2 linked regions of the Bombyx mori genome follow. The main gene of each other region encodes a partner of the protein of the gene in region 2 in a complex. Links are inferred from orthologs where the notes say so. Each region holds a gene or a part of one and is shown on either strand. Other genes may lie near its edges.

Region 1 (3,500 bases), on a different chromosome or scaffold from region 2:
TTCAACGGGAGGATCGATATATTTATCTCTACAAAAAATACAAAAGTAGTCTTTATTTTCTTTTTCGCCTTTTTCTTTTTTTTACGTATTTTGACTAGAGTCACTAAAGTCTTTTTTTATATTGTTCAAATTCTTTAATAATATTTCATACTTCTTGTTTGAAGGTGTTCTTTCATTACATTTCAGTCTTTTTATTTGGGTTCCTTTTTTGCCATCTTTCCGTTTTCTTCTTGATTTCTTACGTTTCCTGATCGTCTGTAAATAAAGGTTTTCATCCAACCATGGCTGTATTAACACTTCTTTCATTAGATGGTCAAAATTAGTGGTTTTTGGAACATTATATGTTTCTGCTGCTTTACGCAGGGAGAGTTTTTGGTTTTAACATCGTCTATAGCCTTTTTGAGATCTTCTAAACTATATTTCAGTTTGGTCTTTCTTTTGTAAGTACAAGGCATCTGTAATAATATTTAAAAAAAAGTTGAACGGGGTACTAACAAACGGGAGTGTCACGGCGAATGTTCGAGATTGCCCGACATGGAGTGTTCGTCTTTACCCCGCGGAATCGAAAATAATTAAAGGTCAAAAAACAATTTTGGTTAAATTTTTTTTGCCTCCTACATCATTATCATTTAGCTGAGTAATATGTGATTATTCCACTATGTAAAAGCTGAATTATTATTGTAGATAGAAATAAAGTTACATCAACTTGAATTTACCAAAAAATTACATCTAACACATACAAAATATTGAAAAATGCATACCTTTTTAAGTACGTGTGTCCGCGTCTCTCGTGTTATTGACTGGCATCAGTGGTGGCGTGATCTCCGAAACGGCGGCAAATAAAATTAGGATATATCTTTCTAACATATTAGAACCATTGAATTCGGCATTACCCAGCGTTCGCGTTTCCCCCACTTTCCCCTAAATTAGTTTTATCAACGCTTTTCCATCATGCTGTAACCATGATGCTGCAATAAACTGTTACGTAATCAAATATCCACTATCCAAATTGTCACGTCACGTATCTAACATCGTATAAGTTATTGATCCAAATATATTAAAACGAATTTTTTTTTTCATCGTTATCATCGTATTTGGGTTTAACTGAACGTAAAAATTTTACATTTCATATTGTAACCGATCTTGACAAGGGCGTCAAAAATTTTGTAATTACTCATCACAGTGATGTAAATTATGTCACGTCACGTATCTAACATTGCACAAGTTATTGATCCAAATATACTAAAAAGAAAAAAATCATCGCTATCATCGTATTTGGGTTTAACTGAAAGTAAAAATTCTACATTTCATATTGTAACCGATCTTGACAAGGGCGTCAAAAATTTTGTAATTACTCATCACAGTGGTGTAAATTATGTCACGTCACGTATCTAACATTGCACAAGTTATTGATCCTAATATATTAAACCGAAAAAAAATATTTCATCGTTATCATCGTATTTGGGTTTAGCTGAACGTAAAAATTCTACATTTCATATTGTAACCGATCTTGACAAGGGCGTCAAAAATTTTGTAATTACTCATCACAGTGGTGTAAATTATGTCACGTCACGTATCTAACATTGCATAAGTTATTGGTCCAAATATACTAAAAAGAAAAAAAATATCATCGTTATCATCGTATTTGTGTTTAACTGAACGTAAAAATTTTACATTTCATATTGTAACCGATCTCGATAATGGTGTTAAAAAATATTATAGTTACTCATCACGGTGGTGAAGTTATTTATGACTCAGTTAACCTGAAGACGCACGTGTCGTCAACCCCGAGACTGCGAAGTGTGACGCTGCTCGATCAGCAGCGCATTTTAAATGATAAAAAGCGAAATTCAATTGAACACCCACCTGTTTTAACAGAACAATGAATGTAAGACCGGCTTTCATAGAAGACCCAGTCAAAGCCGGCTTCGACAGCGAGGCGGGCCAGCATACCGTATTTGCTGCGGTCTCGGTCACTGGTGGTTAAGTCCACAGCCCGACCCTCGTAGTGGAGAGACTGTACAAACAAAAGTATAAAATTATTTACTTACGATCAGCTCTTTATATGTTCTGCCGGTGGTGGTGTGTCTTGTGAACATGCACTAGTAAGTACCACCGCCCCGGCTATTTGTCGCGAAGCAGTTCCGATATACAAGGTGAGGCAGCCGTTGTGTTACAGAACTCATATCTCAAAATGGGAGGCGCTGTTTGTGTCGTCGACGTCTATGAGCTCCGGTAAGCACTTAACACCAGATGGGCCATGAGTAGGTTTAGCGGTCTATAAAAAAGTTGGTAGCTGTAGCCCATAGAAATCGTAAATTTTGCTACCCATCTGGAAATTTCAATTCGAAGTCTCCATTGTATTATCCTAATGGTTTCTCCTCTGAAACGCATGAATGATGTGTCACACAAATAATCAGGATTTCGTCACCTACTCTCTCGGGCTGGCTAATTAGACCAATGCTTATTGCTCAAGATAGGCGGACAACTCAAGGACCAGCTAGTGTTAAATATTTATCGGAATTCATATAAATCATAATAAAAATGTCACAACCTCTCTTAATATGTTTAGTTTTGGTCTCAAATCGTATAATAGTCGTCTTTGCTATTCAAACCGAAATACTTGGCACTACCAAGATGATTGTACCTGCTAGTGCACGATTTTAATTCGATCTCCCATCAGTAATAAACGCAAATTATTTTATTTGCTTCTATTCTTCAATCTAAGCAGACAAACGTAACGAAATGTATAATTTACTTAATATTAAGTGGAACAGCTGGTCATCTGACACTGAAAACTAGGGATAAGCAGCAATCTATTCCAGGTATGATAAGTGTATTCAGTTGTACCAGGTCATCGGTGCTCATTGGCAGTATACATAAATACGATTGGAATAGTGTCTATATTTCCTTTTGTTTTGCAGCATCGACAGCGCTTACAACATGCCTCATCATTCAATGATGAAATGAATAATGTACCTTGTCTAGATGATTATTCTCTTCGTCCCAACCTTCGATCACACGGAGCCGCACTCCCGGCCACTGGTTCATAACGCTGATTGCGAGAGTGTTTAATTTCTCCTTGCATCTCTGAAAATATTAATGTTCTTAATTATGATCATGTTCAATTATTGATTTATTTTAATTATATAATTTTAGGAATTCTAACCGAATACAAGTTACAATAGACACTGTTAAAGCAATTAACATTAAAAATAAGTTTTGTGAATTGAAATAGTAAATCCAATAAATGAAGAAACATTTTCAACAATCAAATAAAATATATTATCAAAGGATGTCCTAGCAAATGGGTAACAAACGTTGCCGCCTAAACCAAAGAACAACGCAGGATGTCGGACATTTTGCCATGAACGAATAAATCAAATTAAATCACGTCATACAAAAAGATCGACACAATTTATTTGTAAAGTGACTCTGCCGCACGAATAAAGGAAATGTCACAATATTTAGAAAGAAAAGTGGACAAAGCCGAGCGCGCT
Region 2 (4,244 bases):
GGCGGCAAACAGAAATAGCGTGAGAATTAATGATCTTGTATATATCCACACACATGCAAACACAAAAATGCCACCTAATGCTATCAACCAAGTATCCTCAATGATCCAAATATCAAAAAGAGCATTTTTCAAACCAAAATCAATAGCTGGTATAACAAGATTGTCATATGACATATTTGAGTTTTCCAGTTTCTTATAATATGGCAATACAGTATCACTTCTTGGAAGTGGCAAAAACAGCATTGTATTCTTTACAAACTTTTGTGCATTATTCAATGGTGAAAATGCTTCTGAATCTATAAGATAAAATAACAAATTATAGACTGCGTTGTGCTGAGTACAGTATTTCGGAACATTACAGTGATCTAAATCACAAGCAGCCATCAATGTAAAATTATGAAAATATCCTGCACATTTCTTCAAAATAGTTACAGCTTTTTTTACATCTTCCTTGTTTAAGTTGACACAGGAATCCTTTCCAGATATTAAAGCAATATAATTTGGGAGACTCCATACAGGACAGCAAATATCTTCAGAGTGTGTTGTCCTCTGACATAATTCATAATATTCATACCCACCTAATTCAACCAGATATGACTGAAATTTACACAATCTCTCAACATTCTTGTATGACAATAAACTCGAATTATCTGTGTTGGTAATAACTAAGTGAGCATAATCTGATATTGGTGGACCACACGTTCCAGAAGCGTAATTAAGATTGATGGGCTTGTCAGCTATCCTCTGCATATTTTTCAAAGACAACCACTGTTTTCTGGAATGGTCTTTGAGTAGTACAGCATGTTCATCTTCATTTGTTACATTTATTCCAAAACCCCAATGTACATGTCCATCAGAAATGTTTAATTCACTATAATCAGACCAAGTTTTTTCTAATCCTGTGATATTCGGGACCATTTTGTTTTTCTTGTTTCGATCCTTCTTTTTTGGCCTTCTGCGTCCTGATCTAGATCTGTCTTGGTGAGTCTTGTTGTAGTAAGTTCGGTTCATTCTGATTTGATCTTCAATTTCTTTAGGGTTCACTGCAAGACGTTTGGACGGCCTCGTTTCGTCATTCAGATTTTCCCAAGCAATGAAGCGATGTGCTAACGTCGTACCCCGGGTTTCAAATCCGACTATGGGATCAGAAAATGAGGGTAGCTCGTGTAGAATTAGCGGGATCACAGTAAGTACGATGGACAAAATACTTACAGTAAAAAGAACGAGGTAAGAATGACGAACAATAAACCTGGAATAAGCGGCCAACATCTCGAACTGCATATTATTCGAGTTTCAATCCATTTTCTCACGATAAAGCATTAATTTTTTCGGCATTTTAACTTATGCAAATGCATGTACAATATTCAAATGGGTTTACATATTGCAAAAAAATAAAAAAGTAGAATTTCACAAAATCACTAAACAAATCGTAAATAATGTAGGATTCCTTGTCTCTAATCTATTTCTGATTGTTAAATGTCATTGTTGTCACTTGTCAAAAATAGTAGTTTTATTTTTCCAACTGGAAAGGCAAAGGTATTACCATAAAGGTAAATACCATAAAGCATAATCTTTTATATATCGACGCTTGAAAGGCAAACGTGACTAAGCGACAATAACCGCTTTGTACATAGATCTACCCGATGATATGTAGGCGAAGTAAAATGTCCCTTAGAAATAAGGTGACACTCTACAAAACTTGCATACGCCCCGTCATGACCTATGCAAGTGTAGTATTCGCTCACGCGGCCCGCACTCACTTAAAGTCATTCCAAATCATTCAATCCCGTTTTTGCAGGATAGCCGTCGGAGCCCCGTGGTTCGTCAGGAACGTCGACCTCCATGACGACCTGGACTTAGAGTCCACCAGTAAGTATATGCAGTCGGCGTCAATGCGCCACTTCGATAAAGCGGCACGACACGAGAACCCTCTCATCGTGGCCGCCGGTAACTACATTCCCGATCCTGCGGACAGAATGGAAAGCAGTCGACGTCGCCCAAAACACGTCATCTCGGATCCTCCCGATCCACTAACGGTGCTTCTAGGTACTTCAAGCACCGGTCACCGTTCTCGTCGAATCCGTCGCTTGCGACGAAGGGCTCGACGAGTAAACTAACTCTCAGACACAGCCCACTGAGTTTCTCGCCGGATCTTCTCAGTGGGTCGCCCGATCCGGTGGTAGATTCTGCGAAGCACGGCTCTTGCTAGGGTTCGTGTTAGCAACGTCATCAGGTTTGAGCCCCGTGAGCTCACCTACAAAAGTTAGGGTTACGCTGACATAGCCTCTCAAGGCTCTCAGCCTAGGTAGGAAAAAAAAAAAAAAAAAAAAATGTACATAGATGATAGGCAATAACCATATTCGATGCGCAAAAAAAAAATATTTCTAGGTCTATTAAAATCATTTCAATCCTACAGCTACTAGCTAGATTCTACTACAGCTAGATTCGTTAAAATAAATTTTGTTTTCAGGTATTTCAACTTTATAATTATAAAGTTCACGCATTGTCGCTTAGTCACGTTTGCCTTTCAAGCGTCGATATATATACATATATATATTTTTTAAATGAAAAATGATAATTTGAAATGAAATGAAATTGATTAATATGAAACATGGCATGAAATGAGATGATATGAGATATAATATAATCTCAGTAAAATGGTGGTCATTTAATGAAACTTTTTCAGTTCACTTTTTCTAGGATCTTTCACAGATATTAAACAGTTAATAAACCACCGTTATTACACATTTAAACATGAAGAAACAATAAATAGACAAAATAAAACAAATCACACAGTTTCACTCTTCGCGTTCCCGCCAAAAATGTCATTAATTCATTATTGTCACTTTTTCAGTGGTAATTCTATTTTTCCGACTAGAGAGGCAAAGATATCACAACGTACAGCCCACTCTTTTGTTACTTTTTCAGTGGTAATTCCATTTTTCCGACTAAAGAGGCAAATATATCACAACGTATAGCCCACTCTTTTGTTATTTTTGTTTTATGAAAAATGATAAGGAGCGAAATGAATTAAAGTTGATTATTTTGAGACATTAATCAATTGAAATGAAATTCAATGAAATGAGATTGTATAGGATGATAATAATATATAGTCTCAATAAAATGTTCGTTTTTTTCAAGCACATCCCGAAAAGAAACGTCCAGCAGCTTTGTTTCATTTTCTCCGTGCATTTTTACAGAAGTTAAAAACCTAATAAACGACCGTTATTACAAATTTAAGCCCGAAGAGACATTAAACATTAGTGCAGATGTTAATGGGGCACAAGCTTTCAAAACCTCTTCTTCTTCTTTTCATCAGTCCACAGACGTCCACTGCCATAGAACATAGGCCTCCCCCAAAACTTCTACGGGGATACAATTTGGCTCACTCAACTTATGAACTTCCAGGAGCCAGAGCTCAGGCCTGACTGCAGTGACTGCACACTGTGTGAAACGGCCAGCAAGAAGTTATTACACCAGGAGTTGTTCGTTGGTGTGGCTCTTCTGTCCCCCTAGTCGACTTTAACGCGAAGAGCTTGTTGGAGTTTGAATATGTAAGCAGTGGCAGGCAACACTTGACACATGTAAGGTTACATATTTCGAATATTGGAATTCTTATTTAAATGTTTAAAACAGATATTTGTCTTCTCTTGAGTGATGACAATGACTTCTCATCTAAATACGGGCAGTGCAACATCGTAGGGTTTTTATAAAAATAAAATATTGTAATGGTGTAATAGTGTACAAAGTATTTGCAATATAATTATATTAATCATGAAGCTAGAGTGTTTTTAAATAGTCCCTCACCTACAGAACCCATTCCACTCAAATTTAACCGTCCAACAGAGCTAAATCAGAAAGTCAGCCTTCTCTTTCGTGCTATGGACCAGACTCTTGTGGCGTTTATGAACGCACATTTTTATGATGCGTAAGCCGGAACGCACGAGATGTGGGAAAAAGAATAAAGTATGTGACACGGGACCTTTTTACCGCCAAATATTTAAAACGTAAAAAATAATTTATAATGTGTTTAATAACTAATGTAATATAATTACTTAGAATTGTTTATGCCGCTAAAACAATAAAATTTATATTGTTTCAACTGTGGTGTTAATTATATAAAACACGACTTTACGGCGAAATAAAGAAGGGACTCTATATGAGCTCCCTCACTCTCATTAACTGACACAGTGGTAGGAAACTGACAAAAGTCTACTTCTGCAACGTGCGACCAAAATACACCG

The links. Proteins that work in one complex are often made in the same cells at the same time.
Region 1: the proteins of protein dispatched (region 2) and sonic hedgehog protein are in contact, whole or in part, in a cryo-EM structure (PDB 6TD6), measured with the Drosophila melanogaster proteins. The link is inferred for Bombyx mori from reciprocal best matches to the Drosophila melanogaster genes disp and hh. Residues at the interface, in NP_524734.2 of Drosophila melanogaster: His77, His78, Arg250, Tyr253, Glu296, Ala404, Gln405, Ser406, Asn407, Arg408, Gly434, Asn755; in NP_001034065.1 of Drosophila melanogaster: Tyr100, Pro101, Val103, Leu104, Lys105, Gln106, Thr107, Asn110, Leu111, Ser117, Glu164, Lys165, Val168, Ala228, Gly229.

Annotation. Positions count from the first base shown.
Region 1 is NC_085115.1:6,288,086-6,291,585, reverse strand, and holds part of sonic hedgehog protein, read right to left. Parts: intron 3,091-3,500; coding exon 2,980-3,090; intron 2,018-2,979; coding exon 1,867-2,017; intron 1-1,866.
Region 2 is NC_085128.1:4,459,642-4,463,885, forward strand, and holds the start of protein dispatched, read right to left. Parts: upstream 2,801-4,244; 5' UTR 2,745-2,800; intron 1,523-2,744; 5' UTR 1,282-1,522; coding exon 1-1,281. UniProt on the Drosophila melanogaster protein: Segment polarity protein which functions in hedgehog (Hh) signaling.